Lonchura striata: one gene and its partner. Each later gene encodes a partner of the first gene's protein in a complex. Links are inferred from orthologs where the notes say so. Each region holds a gene or a part of one and is shown in the gene's direction. Other genes may lie near its edges.

What was found.
Region 2: TTF2 (region 1) and PPP1R8 share a complex: the UniProt entries of both Homo sapiens proteins name them as parts of the spliceosome. The link is inferred for Lonchura striata from reciprocal best matches to the Homo sapiens genes TTF2 and PPP1R8.

Annotation. Positions count from the first base shown.
Region 1 is NC_134604.1:23,224,232-23,232,510, reverse strand, and holds the start of TTF2 (transcription termination factor 2), read left to right. Parts: upstream 1-4,933; 5' UTR 4,934-4,970; coding exon 4,971-5,191; intron 5,192-5,398; coding exon 5,399-5,485; intron 5,486-6,564; coding exon 6,565-6,631; intron 6,632-7,089; coding exon 7,090-8,037; intron 8,038-8,279. Other genes in the region: GPR161 (G-protein coupled receptor 161), read left to right, coding at 459-578, 1,886-2,133. UniProt on the Homo sapiens protein: DsDNA-dependent ATPase which acts as a transcription termination factor by coupling ATP hydrolysis with removal of RNA polymerase II from the DNA template. May contribute to mitotic transcription repression. May also be involved in pre-mRNA splicing.
Region 2 is NC_134628.1:5,420,489-5,429,016, reverse strand, and holds the start of PPP1R8 (nuclear inhibitor of protein phosphatase 1), read left to right. Parts: upstream 1-5,418; 5' UTR 5,419-5,481; coding exon 5,482-5,537; intron 5,538-8,528. Other genes in the region: STX12 (syntaxin-12), read left to right, coding at 112-194, 1,548-1,637. UniProt on the Homo sapiens protein: Inhibitor subunit of the major nuclear protein phosphatase-1 (PP-1). It has RNA-binding activity but does not cleave RNA and may target PP-1 to RNA-associated substrates. May also be involved in pre-mRNA splicing.

The DNA of each region.
Region 1 (8,279 bases):
TACCACCTTGTGACAGCAGTTTAAACAAATGAGCAAAACTAAAGCGATACCAAAATGCTGTTTAAAGTACCACTGTTGTTTAAGGAGGGAGCACAATCTGTAGCCTGGGAATGGATACACAGTTGTCCACTGTGAAATACTCTTTCATTTTGGATGCTTTTACTGTGAGTTACTACAGAGCAGAAGGAAACCTTAATCCGTCTTACGTGTTGCTTGCTGCATGTAATACATGATCCTGGGGCCTGCTATGCCCAGTCTCTAAGGAGATTTCCCAATCCTTTCAATGAAAACTGACCTCATTCTTTTCCTGTGCGGTGTTTAATTTGAGCTGAAATTTACTCAAAAAATCTGGGTTTAGACATCTTTTGAAGGAATTGCTGAAAATGGGCTGAAAATGTTTTGCCACCATATCGTATCTCAGTGTTACTGTTTAACTTGAGGGTTCTTGCTCTTTTCAGGAACAGATACAATGCTTCTTGAAGACTATAGCTCAGATGGCCCTCATGCCCCACACTGCATCTGTCCCCCTCGAAGGAGGAGTTCAGTGACATTTGAAGATGAAGTGGAACAAATTAAAGGTGAGTATAGGGGTAAGTATGAAAATGCTCAGAGTCAACTATATTGAGTGCTCAGGAAGCCTCCCAGGACCTTGAGAATTGTCTTGAAAAGTATCTGACCACTGTGTGCCTTGACAGACCCGATCATTCATGCAGGTACAACAGAAAGCAAAATCAGGCCTTTCTTCCAGATCTCAAGTAGCATCAGGCAAGGACAAGAGCTAGAAGCTGGCATTCCCTGCATATATATAAAATTGCAAAGCAGTATCCTGTCTGCAATTTCACTCATCTTGGTGGCTGTAACAAGTTTTGTCTGTTTTGTGTTTCTTGGAGAATATATTATCCTGCCCTCATATTTTGGTTGTATTCAAATGAGAAACATCCCTGTGTTTCTCATTTGCTGTCTCTTCTCAAGTTTGTCACTTACAGACTTGAAATTCTTCCATTTACATACTTCAATAATCTTGAATATAATTTTATCCTGTTTCATTTACTTTTTAACTTAAATTCTACTTTTCTTTACTTTGTGTTCCTCAGCAGGTATGGGTGAAAACAGATTAATCACATGCAACTTGCTTGTTGATTCTGGGATAGCAGAACATTGCTATGATCATCTGTAAAATGTCAGAACATTAATTTATGCTGATAGTTACAATAATTTCAATAGAAGACTTGATAATAACAACTGAATTGTCTAAACAATACATGATTGTGGACAGGATGAAAATGAGCAGAATGCCTTTAAGAAGCAAGTAATAATAAAACCTGATATAATGAGAAAACTGTTTCTATGGAATTTTTAAACATCTTGGCAGAATTCTCTTTTGTCCTTTTCCCACCATGAGATGAATATTTCCTTGTGGAAACACATTAGCATACATTTCCCACTATCTTTCTGAGTGATTATGTAGGAGCAGACATATAATTTCTTGTGAGAGTGAAAGAGGGAAGTCTCAGTGCACAAGTCCCCACAGGTTTTGCAATTCTCCCTGATGAATCTCAGGCTTTTCAGCATCCCTGAGGCTTTAGATTATTTCAGCAGCCTTACTGAAGAGTTACATTTAGGATGAACTCTTGTATTGCTCAACATGTTGGTGGGTAGAGAGGTGTACAGATACTACGAAAATAGGTGCACTGACACATTATCCCAGGTCACTCTGAAACTTTGTGTTCATAGAATGATATAGGGAGCCTGAGTATTGTTGGTAAATGTGTAGTTACTTTGCAGAGGGCATGATCATGCCTTTCCAGCAGGATCTATATTAGTTTTCAAGCATTTGCACAGCCCTGCTTACCAACTGTTACCTTTTTTTTTTTTTTTTTTCCAGAGGCTGCAAAGAATTCTGTTCTTCATGTAAAAGCTGAAGTCCATAAATCTCTGGACAGTTATGCAGCCAGTCTGGCCCAAGCTATAGAAGCTGATGTGAAACTCAGCCTGTTTGGGGAAGATGCTTTACCAGGAGCTCTGTTCCCCTCGTGGACTCTGGCAGGAAGCAGTGGGAACACCCGGCGTGGTGTCAGGCCCCATGCCAGCCAAAGACTGAAGCTGCAGAGCATCGATGAAGGGAACATTTGATATGAGCACTGGAGTAGGAAAACAGAATGAAACCACTAAGAAGGGTCTACTGCAGCTAGTAGTGTTTCACCAGAACCAGGACACGTTGTCGGGATGTTTCCAGTGTTTTTTCAATACCTGGAAACAGCTGGGTTCTGGTACTTGCATTAGCATTTTACAGCAGTGTTTGTTTACTAGTTGGGGTGCGAACAGCAACAGGTGCTACTGACTCTTCTGCCACATCATTATCACAAAGTGCTTAGGAATGCAGGGCTTGGTTTCATTGACCACATCATTAGTCAGTTGAATCTTGGGCCCATTGGCCAAAGCTGATACAGGAAACAAAACAGAAAAGGTATGTGCATTGTTACATCCATCCTCTTCTGACCACCAGGATAATAAGTTGATACTTGACAGCTGGAGTGCTCTGATAGCTCTGGATTGGATAAGAAATAAAGCCTTACTCCCAGCTGAGCAACGTGGACTTCACTAAGGACAAAACTTGAACTTTTCAGAGAGCTCATGCAGATTATGGTCCTACTTAACCTTTACTTGGAGATATTTCTGTCTGTTCAGCCAACAGAATGCCAGATCTGACATTGGACTGTGCTTTGCTTCAGTGGCATGGGATATCAGCTCTTCTGGATGTGATAAATGGGAGTAAACATGTGCTGGGAACAGCACAGAGATGGGATTTGAGGAAATCATTAGTGCAGAATTCTTAGTTTCCCTGAGAATTTCAGCTCATGTTTTGCTGTTACTTAAAGGGCAGTCTGTGGCTGTGCTAAAGTTGACAGAATATAAACAAGATATTATCATTTCATATTCAGGATTCATCTTCTAGAGAGAAGAGAGCTGTTGTTCTGTTTTTTTTTTTAATCATGAGGGAATGTAGTATTTAAGCTGTAGTTACCTCAGTGCTTCTATTTCTTGGAGTATTAATTCATTAATCTCAAAAATAAGAACATTTGGCACTTATATTGCACTTTGCATGTTCTTAAGCACTCTACAGACATTACCTTGTTAGGCCTTTGTGAGAGGGTTGATTGATCAGCCCTGCTTGCCAAAGAAGGGGAACTCAGCACAGCCAAGATGCTGGCAGTGAAACAAACTCCAAAGCTGGCAAGTTTTGTAAGGAAAAGAGGGATGAGGTGGATCATTCAAGAATATCCAGCTTGAGGAACCTTTCTCTGCCTTTGTGGGCTACCCCCTTCCTTATTTTGGGGCGCTAAAGCCCTGCCTTACCATGTATTTCAAAGAGGAGACATAAGTGAGCAGGATCATTCCTTGGGGGTGGGTGTCAGTAGCAAATGGAGTTAAGGACCAAGGGTTTGCATTTGTTTACTCTATGTCTGCTCGTCTGTGCCTCTACCTTTCCCCAGAAGTGCTTTGTATGAGGTTTTGATGCAGATTGTTTGGAAACCAGGAGCAGGATATTTCCATCTGGGCAAAAAACCAGGGTGTGCACTCATTGAATTTTGTCTTTGTGCAACTTATTCAGAAGCACAGAAGCAAAGTGTTGTGAGGCAGAGCCTCGGTCCAGTACTGTATTTAGACATCCTATTTGTCTTTGTTCCTGACTCAGAGATGCATTTCAGCACAAGCTTATGTCCATCTCTGGACAAAGCAACTTGACTTTCTGAACTAGCCTGAATCCCATAGTGTTCCCGTGCAAAATATAACAGCATGCTTAAAATTCAGTACATGGTTTGCTGATTTAAGAACAGGCTGTTAGAGCAAGAACACTTAAACTCCAGAAAGGTGGCTCTTAGCATAATGCAGGAATAAATCAATTAATAATAGGGAAGTTCTAACTCCTGCATTTTTTACTTCTAATGTGTTAGAGACACTGCACCTGTGGGCACTCATTAGGAAAAAAAACAAAAATCCCAGGATTTGCCGGAAACGCCCTGCATCGAGGTCATTATTGCTGTCGTTAACATTACAATCACAGTCGCGGGTACTCAACACTCCTTAAGCTGTACACTTGCCTGGAAGTATTTTGTGTGCTCCCTTTTATTCCGTACTCCTGCTTGAAACAAGTTGAGCAGAGCCGTGGTTGAATATCAGAAAGGCACACACGAGTTTGAATGCATTGTGGAGTAGGTGCTGGCCCAAAACACTGTGTTTAGGAGAAATTCCAAGGCACGCGTGGAAGCACAAAATCCACAGTATCGTGAAAAAAGCACGTTTTTCACACAGGTACTGAGACAAATGCAGCCTTCAGGCAGATCAAGGGGGTTGCAAGTTTACACCATAGCTGAATTCGGCTGCCAGTGTTAATGTCACTAATCTGTTATTTAGTGTAAATGTTGTTCTTATTTTTGTACACACGTTATAACCCTTCCATAATTGTTATTACCAGAGCCGTTCTCTCACTTGTGTTGTCATTAACAAAAGCAGTAATTGAGAAGTGCACACGTTTTGTAAAACTATTTCCCGTCTTAAATTCAGAAGAAAAAATCCAACTTGCTTCCAGTTCGTGATGGTCTGTGGTGTTTGTACCATTATTTCAACTTACATTCATCTTGAAGTATTTTACTTTTAAACGTATGTCCAGCTGGCAGGATGAGCCTGTCCGGCGCGGCAGTTGGAGCCGTTTCCAGGACAGGGAGTATCCCGGGTGGAATACGGCTCCCTCCGCTCCGAGTATGCCACCGCGGCGGGCCTGAGGCCACGCCCCCTTCGCATCTCCCCTCCCGCCCGTTCCCGCCCCCGGGCGCGCGAGGGCTATGCGCGAGGGGAGCGCAGCGCTGCGGCGATTGGCTGCCCCGCCCCTGCCCCGCGCTGATTGGTGGTAGCGTCGGCCCGGCAGGATTGGCCGGTTCAAAGGGCGGGTGCGGTCGCACTGCCCGGCCATGGAGGCAGTGCTGTGCTCCGAGCACGGTGAGGGGCGGTCGGGCTCCCGTGCGGGGTGGTGTGCTGGGGGGCTCGGCCTGACCCGTTCCGCTCTTCTCCGCTCCTCAGGGTCCCTCTGCTTCCTGAAAACGGTCGTCCGCGATGGGCCCAACAAAGGGAAGAGCTTATACGTGTGCGGGACGCAGGGCCCCGCTGCCTGCGGCTTCGTCCTCCCAGCGCCGTAGGTGCAGGGCAGGGGCGGCAGGAGGGGGCCGATGGGACAGGGGCACACTTGGCTGTCCTGAGGGAAGTTCACTGTTGTGTCAGCAGTCGCAAACTTGTTTTCTTATGTAGCCTTTGTTTTGTCGCAAGTGATTGCGTTGCGATGGCAGTCCCCTGGGCAGTTCGTCTTGTCTGTATTCTTCCGCTTCTCCTTTCCTCCTTTCAGGGTTCCTGCTTCTCACTGCTTGATCCATGAGGGGTGCGTGGTGGAGCTACAAGTCCTGGTTCAGCAGCCGGACAGAGATGAATACCAGTAAGTTCCTCAAAGTTTTTAAAAAGCGTATGTCTGCCTTCAAACGGGTAAAGCCTATGTTCAGTGCTTAAAATAATCTTCTCAAACCGATTCTGACTAATGATCATATAGTTTTTACAAGTTTATGTCAGAAAAACTTGAATCCTGTGATTTAAGTAGTTTTTCTGTAGTGAGGATTTAACGTCCACCTAAGCTGTACCTGTGTTTTGTGGGAAAAGGAGGGCTCTTATTTAGAGTATCTCATTTTTATGGCGTCTTTGAAGGCTTACTTTGCAGGCTGTTGCCTCTTAAAAATAAAGATTGTTTTTCTTAGGATCAGGAGCATCTTAGCTGTCTTTATAGTTTATGAAGGAGTGAGAGAGTCGAACTACAAGTCATTCAAAGTGAAAACAGGGTTTATTGCACATATTGAAACTAATGGTGCCAGAGAACCAGAGAGAACTTGGTTTCCTTCTAAAACTGAAGAGTCATTGAGCCTTCAGGCCTGCACTTACCCTGTTTCCAAATGTTTGCCACTTTTGTTAGCAGTTATGTCTAATAGTATAAACCTGGGTCATCAGATAATGTTTGTTTTTAACAGAATTGAACATGGCTCTGTGGTTGGATTCATCCAAACTTAGCGTCAGATTCCACAATATTAGTTCTGATAAAGTATTTGCAGCAGTCCAGGTTGGCTGTTAGTTTAAAAAAGAAATCACATCCAAAGTATTTCTGTCCCTAAGTTGCTATAAAGATGAGGTGGCCTGTGCAGTGTAAGTAAAAGAAGAGCTGTTTCCTTGCACCTTGAAATCTAAGGCTCTAAACATAGACAGTATTTTTGCCTGAGCAGTTACTCTTCTATTGCTAAAATTAAAAAAAAAAAAAACCCAAACCCTAGGAATCTTTATTCAGAGAACACTACTCCTGTAAAAAGCACTGTTGCCAGTGTTCATGGCCTTTTTTTATGCAAAGGTCTGAATGTTAAGTGCAGATTAGTAGAATTTGGCTGTGATGGTCTCTGGTGCAAAGTACTTTTAAAATAATGCTTAGAGCTTTTTTACTGGCTCTTGGGATTGAAATCTTGTTTTAATCCTTGGTAGGTTGTTTTATCGGTGCCTCAAGAGTAAGTTGAATAGGAAGAAATGGTGTGGGAGCGTCCCATGGCAGGTAAGAGTGTTTGTATTATAGTATTGCCTTATTCTGGTGTGACTTTTCATTCCATATACCATAATCACCTCTGAGACTACTTAGTGGGAGATTTTATGTTTTCCACCTTGAAAAGTGTGTCAGGCCTGCTGTCCTCTAGGTGAGATGTCTCTAAGTTGTGTGAAGTACTCACTATTCTTCAGTCTTAGAAGCTTGGATTTGATTCCTGGCTGTCCTCTTTTCTAGAGATTGTGCTACAGGACTTGATCCCAAAAAACAGTGGGAATGGCAAAGAAAGTAGAAAACCAGCCATTTTGTTTTGGATTTCTTATGAAATGTTATCCTGGTTCTGTTAAAAAAATAGGAAAGATGATCTTGGTAGAGGATGAAGTCTTGCTTGATGTGATCAGGTTGTGTGTGTTATTAACATGCTTTAATAATTTGTACACTAGCCATTTACTGACATGTACATATTGTAGGATCCAAAAGCTACCAAAGTCTCAAAACCCTTGGAATCCCAGCCCAGAACAGCACCTTTCTTCAACCCCACAAGACAGAGAAACCCATTCAAAGTGCTAGACAAGAATCGTGCACCATCATCCTGGAAACAAATGAAGCAAGTAAATGGAGAGGAAAGTAAAGCAAAAGGAGCTAAAGCAGAGAATGAGAGTGTGCTGGTATCATGTAAAGAAAAAAATTTAATCTCTGATTCCTTCACAGAGACAGTATCTCTAGAAGAGCTGAAAAATAAAAGGCAGTCATCCACAGGAAGTAGAAGTGATCTAGAACTTCAGGGGACTACAGTGTCTGAATCTAAACTTTGCCTTTTTGAGACCGGGAATGGGGAAAATACACTTTCAGAGGAAGAGAAATATGGTGGCAGTGGCAGGGAATCCAAGAAGCTTTCTGATTGTGTGGACAAGGAGCCAGGCGCAAGATCAAAACTCTTCCCACTAAGTCTTGGAAAGCAAAGTACAAGTACCAAGCCTCCAGGAGAGGAGCAGCTTGGAGAAAAAAGCTTAAAAAGTTGTAGGGATAAAGAAACAAGAAAGAAAGATTACACTGGGCAGAAGAATGATGACATGATGCCAGTGTCTAAGGAAGACGCCCCTTCCTCAGCAGGAGCACAGTCAGCATTCAAGTGTGCTGCCCTGATGGGAGGGGCAGAGGCAGAGCTGCCCAAGGCACAACTTGAGCCAGGGCTGCCAGAGCCTCCTGGTGACACCTCTGGCAGTGACAGTGATGAAGAGCAATTTGTTTGTTCCTCATCAGGTGAAAGTAAACCTGAAAAATCAGTTGAGATTCCATCAGGAAAGAGTGTGCAGGGGACACCTTTGCCAGGAGCAGCAGCATCACATCACATGGAAGGACCCCAGGACCCTAAAGTGCTTCATAACCATCTTCTAGTCCAGCTGAAACAGAAAAAGGTCATTTATTGCATCTATTATTTGGGGAGTGTATTGTTCTGTTTTCAAGGTGACTTCCCTTACTCGTGACAGAATGTGATGTCTCCTTACAACAGAAAGTCAAAATGGGGTTTAGGAAGATGCGGCATGGGAGGGAGTTCAGCCTTTGTACACACTGGTTGTATTAAGCAGCTACACACCAATTACTTCTAAGGTAGTACAATCTTCTGCCTTTGGGGATGCTCAGTTTTGACCCACCTGAG
Region 2 (8,528 bases), on another chromosome or scaffold:
TGGATTAAAATTTTCAGTACTTTGCATTAAAAGTATTATATTTTTAGTTATAATTTTTAAACACTGAAGCTCTGAAATATTTTGCAATGAGTTCTCCTGTTCTTTCCATAGATAGCATAGAGGCAAATGTGGAAAGTGCAGAAGTCCATGTGGAAAGAGCCAGTGAGCAGTTACAGAGAGCTGCCTATTATCAGGTAAATTTTGTGTGCTTGCTTGATTGTCAGTGTATGGTTGAGCACTAATGAAACAGGCAGAGCAAGACACTGAGGACTGCAGCACACCAGACTGCTTATTAAAACCAGCTCATGCAAGTTGGCATTCATTCAAAATTGCCTGCAAGGAGTATATAAAGCACTTGAGTCAAAAACATGGTATTGAAATTCACCTTCTACTTTAGACTAAAAGAGTAGAAATAGGGTCTGGCCCTTCACACTCTGCAAGCCTAAGTGTTTACCTGTCTTTGTTGTTGTTAGGAGTTAGCAGAAGAAACAAGAACAAATTCTGATATCATATGCAACTTTTGAAGATATCAGCCAAGACACTGACATGCAAAAATCTGTGCCCAGACTCAGGTCTGGTCACTCTGGTGACCAGGATTTGCAGCACTCCTATCCAGCTGCTGAGCTTCTATCCCATAGTTTGTGCTCCATCAAATCTCTTGCAGTGGCTCTCACTGCTGTATGGGATCCAGTGTTTCCTGTAGGTTCCTGTCACCATCCTTGTCCCTCTAGCTCCAGCTTCTGTGAAGGGGTAAGGGTTCTGCTTTAGTCAGTCCATTACTGCTGGGACTTACACAAGAAAATACTGGACTCTTCCAAGCTGTTAAGTGGGAGGTACTGGAGGGCAATAAAACTCCAGTGCTGTTGAGTGCAAGGGTGGGAATGTTGCTTTTACCATCTGGCAGCATGTAGTAGCAGTCTCTCTCTCCATGGCTTCCTTGCCAAAGTTCTGAGGTATTTATAAATCTAAGTTTCAGAGCTGTTGGATATGTTTTGCATGGGGTTTTTTCCTGGATGGAGAAAGAAGTGGTTATATATCAAATCCTTAGATGCCAAGTTAAAAATATTTGGTGTATATGGAAGGCCTGTAGTTTCCTGTGATGAATAAAGTGAGCAAAGCTGTAAAATCCAAGTTCAGTAACTGTACATGAAATAATTTAAATTGTAGAAATGCAACACCAAGCCCAAGTGGCCAAGGGGAGATTGTATGTGAGAACTGCTTAGGAGTTTGATTAGGAAAAAATGTAAATAGCTAGAAAGGTTTGGCCTTCTCTGAGGCTTGTATTTTCATTAAGAGAAGCAAAACCTGTCAAATTTTGACTTAACTGCATCTCTTAGACCACTGCACTCCTAAAATTAAAAACATTCATCTGTAGAATCATGGAGTTTAAGGAACATGTAAAAATGTTCAGACTACACTGGTTACTTCTCTCTAACTGTGGGGGTACCAAGGGCTCTTGTTCACCCAAGTTAGTAACATGAATGGTAGCCTTGCTTTTTCCTCAAGTGTTCCTGGTGTCAGTGGCTTCTTTTTTCTTCTCTTATTAGAAGAAATCCCGTAAGAAGATCTGTATCCTGATTCTTGGCCTTGCTGTGGCCTGTATAATCATAGGACTCCTTATCTGGAAGTTGAACTGAAATCTTCCCATGGAAACCAGTCTCACAGCTGAGATTTTTTCTGTCAGAGCAAACAGGCTGACTGGTCTTGGAGCTGAATTGACCACCCTGAGAGAGCAAAAGTTGGAACTACTTCTAATAATAGATATTAGCAACTAACGTGCAGGTAACTAGTATTTGGAATTAGTAAACCATGGAGACAGTATTTATCAGTTTATATACAAATTATATTGTTTTATGTAACTAAAATCTTGTGGTTTTGCTTTCTGTAATGTGTTCTTCCCTGTCCCAGCTGTATGCTGAAATGTGATCAATAATTGGAGAGGTCTTGTTTTTGACAAGTCGCACAACTTCAACATTTTGTACACGTAGGTAACTTTGTTGGACTGGAATGCAAATGCCATTCAAAGACAGCCCACCACCAAGTCACATTATGTAAATCCAGCAGTTTCTAAAGTCTCCAGTATCTGCCCCATGGTTTTATTGTCTCCAAGTGGCTGTGGTTCTAGATTCTCTTGAAGAAAAGGATGTTGTCACAGATTTGAGAGGCAAGGAGGGTATGTGTGGATGATGATTTGAACATGCTGGTCAGTTTAGCCTTGAGACTCATAACTGTGTTTAATTTTTTGGGTGTGGTTGGGGTTGTTTTTTATTTCACAAAATGCACTTGAGGACAGAATGTTCTTTGACTTAGAATAACAGTGCAATCTCCTTAGACAAACTAGCTGGTTGCTTGCTAGTGGACAAATAAATCTCTTCCAATGCTGACTCAAGCACTAAATATAAAAAGTTTAGCTGCTCACTCCCAACTGTTTTTAGAAGCTTCCAGGGGAAAAAACACTTAAAAATGAGGAAGTGGGCACCTAAGTTTACAAGCTAGCAACATTAGTGAAGAGTGTTAGCAGAAATCTTGATTCTGAAGAAGTGCTCTTGAAGTTCACTTGTAGTGTCCTAGTAAATGTTATGTGTGGCTTGTGAACATTTGGTATTTTCAAATCTTTATGAAATAGAAAGTGCAGAAACTGGCTGAGTGAAGTGCTAGGTTTTCCAGACTGGGGAGGTGTGTGCAAATGAAAAGGGTTGCTGGTTCCAGCTCATAGGGTTGGGCAGAACCAGCAGCCACTCCCCACTTCAATGTAGCTCTGAACTGACATGCACTGGGAACAGTAATCTGTCCAAAACCCGGTGGGGGTGGTAAATGCAGTATACTGACCCATTTTGTATTTAATCCTTATTCCATGTCTCGTCTATAATAAAGTAAACATGAAAGCTGGGAAGAGTGTTCTCCCAATTGCACAGTGGTTTGCACTATTGCGCCGTCATTCCATCCAATAATTATCAATAAACACTTTTAAAAGCCTCTGTCAGAGCTCATTTCTCTTGCAATTTACACATTGGCACAGGTGTGTTTGCAGAGTAGAGGACGTTACATCAGCACAGTAGTGTTTCCTGCAGCTTTAATTCTGTGGTCCCTGATTTTTCAGAATGAAACTCCCTGAAATAATGAAATTAATTTCCAAGGACATACACAAGACTTCTGTGCAGCGTCCTGTACAATAGGTGATCCCAGAAAAATGAATCTCATACCTCAGAGCAGCATTGGGTCAGCTCTATTTGCCTTTTGCTAGAACTTGAAGCCATTTGCAAGCCTGTATGATAAAATCTGACTTGAAAGCATGTGACCTTTGTGTTGTTCTGCTCCTTTTTTAAAGTTTTCCTTGGAAATGGTAGGAGCTATTGATTTGAAACCTATTGATTTGTGCATGCCTGCTGCCAGACAGAGTCCTTTGGGTGTCACACTGCCATAGAAGAACAAAAGCACTTAGCTTTAGTTTGTTTGTTAGGTCACCACACCTAAACAGGAGCATTATTTGTGTGCTCCATCCTTCTCCTAGCCTGTTTTAGTCCCCTGGAAATTGGAATTGAGGGTGCAGGGTGCTGAGCTCAGGGTTTTTGTAGCTGCTTGACTCCTTTCTCCCCTACACAGAGGAGGGAGCCGGCTGTGCCGCACCTCTCAGCGGTTCGCGGCGCTAGAACCGGTGATTTTAACGCTCTCGTCTCACGTTCCCGAGCCTGAAAATCCGTCTGGAGAACTGGAACATCCCGTGCTTGTTACTGCAGAGTCTGGCTCTCAGATGTGCGTTCGACCCCATTCGAGGCGTTCGGGGATCCCGGCCGGCCGTGAGAGCCGGGCAGCGAGCGCGGCTGTGCCCGCCCGGGGCGGCTGCGGGCCGGGGCCGGCCGGGACAGAGGCAGAAAGGCCGGTGTGCTCGTACGGGCCGTGCCCCGGGTTCTGCTCGGACAGAGGCGCTGTCCCCGCGGTACTCGGTACCGGCACTGTCCCCGCGTTCCAGCGTCGGTACCGGGGCTGTCCCCCCGTCCCGGGGTCGGTACTGGCTCTGTTCCCCTGTCCCGGGTCGGTACTGGCTCTGTTCCCCTGTCCCGGGTCGGTACCGGCTCTGTCCCGGGTCGGTACCGGCTCTGTCCCGGGTCGGCACCGGCTCTGTCCCCCTGTCCCGGGTCGGTACCGGCTCTGTTCCCTGTCCCGGGTCGGTACCGGCTCTGTCCCGGGTCGGTACCGGCTCTGTTCCCTGTCCCGGGTCGGTACCGGCTCTGTCCCGGGTCGGTACCGGCTCTGTTCCCCTGTCCCGGGGTCGGTACCGGCTCTGTTCCCCTGTCCCGGGTCGGTACCGGCTCTGTCCCGGGTCGGTACCGGCTCTGTTCCCCTGTCCCGGGTCGGTACCGGCTCTGTCCCGGGTCGGTACCGGCTCTGTTCCCCTGTCCCGGGTCGGTACCGGCTCTGTTCCCTTGTCCCGGGTCGGCACCGGCTCTGTTCCCTTGTCCCGGGTCGGTACCGGCTCTGTCCCCCTGTCCCGGGTCGGTACCGGCTCTGTCCCGGGTCGGTACCGGCCCTGTCCCGGGTCGGTACCGGCTCTGTCCCGGGTCGGTACCGGCTCTGTTCCCCTGTCCCGGGTCGGTACCGGCTCTGTCCCCCTGTCCCGGGTCGGTACCGGCTCTGTCCCGGGTCGGTACAGGCTCTGTCCCGGGTCGGTACCGGCTCTGTCCCAGGTCGGCACAGGCTCTGTCCCCCTGTCCCAGGTCGGTACCGGCTCTGTTCCCTGTCCCGGGTCGGTACCGGCTCTGTCCCGGGTCGGTACCGGCTCTGTCCCCCGGTCCCGGGTCGGTACCGGCTCTGTCCCGGGTCGGTACCGGCTCTGTCCCCCGGTCCCGGGTCGGTACCGGCTCTGTCCCAGGTCGGTACCGGCTCTGTCCCGGGTCGGTACCGGCTCTGTCCCAGGTCGGTACCGGCTCTGTTCCCTGTCCCGGGTCGGTACCGGCTCTGTCCCGGGTCGGTACCGGCTCTGTTCCCTGTCCCGGGTCGGTACCGGCTCTGTCCCGGGTCGGTACCGGCTCTGTTCCCTGTCCCGGGTCGGTACCGGCTCTGTCCCAGGTCGGTACCGGCTCTGTTCCCTGTCCCGGGTCGGTACCGGCTCTGTTCCCCTGTCCCGGGTCGGTACCGGCTCTGTTCCCTGTCCCGGGTCGGTACCGGCTCTGTCCCGGGTCGGTACCGGCTCTGTTCCCTGTCCCGGGTCGGTACCGGCTCTGTCCCGGGTCGGTACCGGCTCTGTCCCAGGTCGGTACCGGCTCTGTTCCCCGGTCCCGGGTCGGTACCGGCTCTGTCCCGGGTCGGTACCGGCTCTGTTCCCTGTCCCGGGTCGGTACCGGCCGGGCGGGGGCGGGGCCAGCCCTCGGGGGCGTGGCCCCGCCAGGCCCCGCCCAGCGCCGCGCGGGGCACGCCGGGATCGCCGCGCGCCGATCGCGCCTCCCATGGTGCCCCGCGCCGGCTGAATGGGGCAGAGCCAAGATGGCGGCGAGCGCGGCCCCGGCGGGCGGCGGGTCCCTGTTCGAGTGCCCGAGCTGGTGAGCGGCGGCGCCGAGGGGCGGAGGGGCGCGGGGCTGCGCTCCCGGTGCCGCAGAGTGCTGGCCGGGCCGGCGGGGTCAGGGCGCGGCCCTCGGTGCCGCCATCGACAGCGCCGCGGGGGTCCGGGCCCTCCCTGGGGTGCCGAGTTTTTTCCTCAGAGCTCAGGCAGAATCCGTGTTGTGGTAGGAACTAGATATCCTGTTCGGGAGATGTGTCCGGTACATCTGTCAGCTTGGAAGTAGGCTGGGGTTTTTGTTAGCTTGAGTTCAGCAGTCAGGGCTGAGTGGAGTGCTGGAGACATCGCGCCCATGCCTTGGGCTGGGTCAGGGGTGGGAGAGCCCTCGCTGGAAGGGATCTCTGAAAACGTCCTGCCGCACGCTCCTGCCAGAGCAGAGCTTGGCATCAGGGTGCCCTTGTTCGTTTGTTCTATGTTTTGGTCATTGCTGAAGAAATCTTGGCTCTCCTGCCTTCTTTGGGTGCCGCAGCACTGGGATGGGAACGGAGGCACTGGGATGGGTACGGGGGCATTGGGATGGGAACGGAGCTTTGGGATGGGTACGGGGGCATTGGGATGGTGTCACAGCACTGGGATGGGTGTCACAGCACTGGGATGGGTGTCACAGCACTGGGATGGGTACCACAGCACTGGGATGGGTGTCACAGCACTGGGATGGGTGTCACAGCACTGGGATGGGTGTCACAGCACTGGGATGGGTACCACGGCACTGGGATGGGTACCAGGGCACTGGGATGGGTGTCACAGCACTGGGATGGGTACCACAGCACTGGGATGGGTGTCACAGCACTGGGATGGGTGTCACAGCACTGGGATGGGTACCAGGGCACTGGGATGGGTGTCACAGCACTGGGATGGGTACCACAGCACTGGGATGGGTGTCACAGCACTGGGATGGGTACCACAGCACTGGGATGGGTGTCACAGCACTGGGATGGGTACCACAGCACTGGGATGGGTACCACAGCACTGGGATGGGTACCAGGGCACTGGGATGGGTGTCACAGCACTGGGATGGGTGCTGTGGTATTTTAAATCACACAAACACCCCATCCCACCCCACCTGAGAGCTGGAGTTGTGTGCTCCAGCCCTGCCTGGCCCTGCAGAGCCCAGGCTGGCCCTGCTCACCCAGCTGTGTTGCACCTCTCAGTGCTTTCTGACAGTGCTCAGTGCATGAGTGTGTTGGCATTTAAACCAGGTTTTTAAATACCTGCTTTAGCTGGTAAAGCCATTAAACTTCTCATGGAAGAGAATTCCTCATGTATTTTAGGGTCTTATTTGTGCTGAACATACACAATAATGATCATCTATATGAGACAGGATGGTGTTCCATAAGATGATGACACAATAAACCAGTTAAAGTCAAAGATTATTCTGGATATTCAACTTGAAATTTGAAGTATCATCCATTTTTTTTCCTCCTAGTGTTTTTATACAACAGTGATCACAATATACATTATATTCCATGTAAATTTGAATTATTTGTACTTTTGAAAGCTGTAGATGGAGGAGCTGAGAGAACACAGCTTATAAAATACTCAGTCTCAGTGTCTTGCATGCTATTGTAGAAGAATTCCTAAAGAAATCCCATCTGGAGGAGAGAACTGTAACACCTGTAATTGTGAGGGCCTCTTCAGATATCTGTTTTGTGTCTTACCTGCAGCAGGGCAGGGTCTGACAGAGAGAGTTTCCCTTTTTCCTGCCCTGGTTTGGTTCTGAAGCACAGTCTGTTTTGCTGGATGAGAAATGAGGTGGAATCTGGGAGATGATCCAAACCCAGTGGTCAGGGGGGCATGTTTGGGTGCCAGGTCCTGTTCTGTTCTCACATTTTTAAGATTTTTTTTGTAATTCACTTACTGCAACCTGAATCTCCTTTTACAATAATATTCCAAAATAGTTTTGGATACAGCAAAGTTCCTGTCTGGACTCTCTCCTGATACATTGTGAGGAAACTTTTTATTTTCTCTTGGACTCTGTTGTATCCTTACACATTGTAATGGTTTTAGGGACCCAGCTGGGCAATTTGTGTGTTTGTAGCTGTGAAGTAAAGGAGTGCCTGAGACAATTTGGTCTTGTCCAGTTGGCACATGCAGACATGGCAGCTAACACCACTGAAAGCTTTGTGTTTTTCCTTAATGTTGCTTTTGAAGCCCAAAAGCTGTTTGATAAGAGGAAAAATAAAAAAGTGAGCTAGCAGGAAGCCAGTCTGGAGAGCTTCCAGTCACAGTGCTTGTGTTCTGAACAGTGAACCCAAAATGGGAAGTGTTAGGTGATGTAGACTGGTGATAACCATGGCCTCATCCCTTGGTGGAAGTGGGGAGCTCTCCTACCAGCTGGATTTATTTATTTCTGTTTACTTTTCTGTTCTGCAAAATAAGTAGAGTATATTTGATGCTAAAGCTCTGGATGCCTTCTGCTGATATTTCTGAGCTGCAGCTTCCAGCTCATGGTTTTTAAGTATTTGCTCCTTTCAGAGCCAACCAAAGAGCACAGATATGATGTGGAATCAGTCTGGGTCTTTCCCAGGTAGGATTCTCCAGGCTGGAGGTGGTTCCAGGAGCAGGTTTGGATCAATACTGGTCTTATTGAAAGCTCTGGTTTAGGAGGATATAAAGGCACCCTGCAGGAAGCCTGGTCTTAAACAAGCACCAAAAAGTCTCCTGTGAAGCATTGTAGGGCTTCATTCCAAGAGCTTTGGGTGACCAAAAGTATGGAATTGCAGAGTCTTCACAGTCAGAAGCAGATTCTTCTGTAATAAATTATCTTCCATCTCCTCAACCTCTATCAAAATCAAAATCACAGTCTTTACCTAAATGTTTATTTTCCTGCTTCTAAGGAAAGCTGGCTGGGGCCTGTGAACACCAATCATATAAGAAATACATCTTAGATGTACATAATCAAAAAGAGTAGTCTTTTTCCTGGCCTTTAATTTGTTGTCCATGCTTTTGAGGTTTGCCTCTATCATTTTACCTC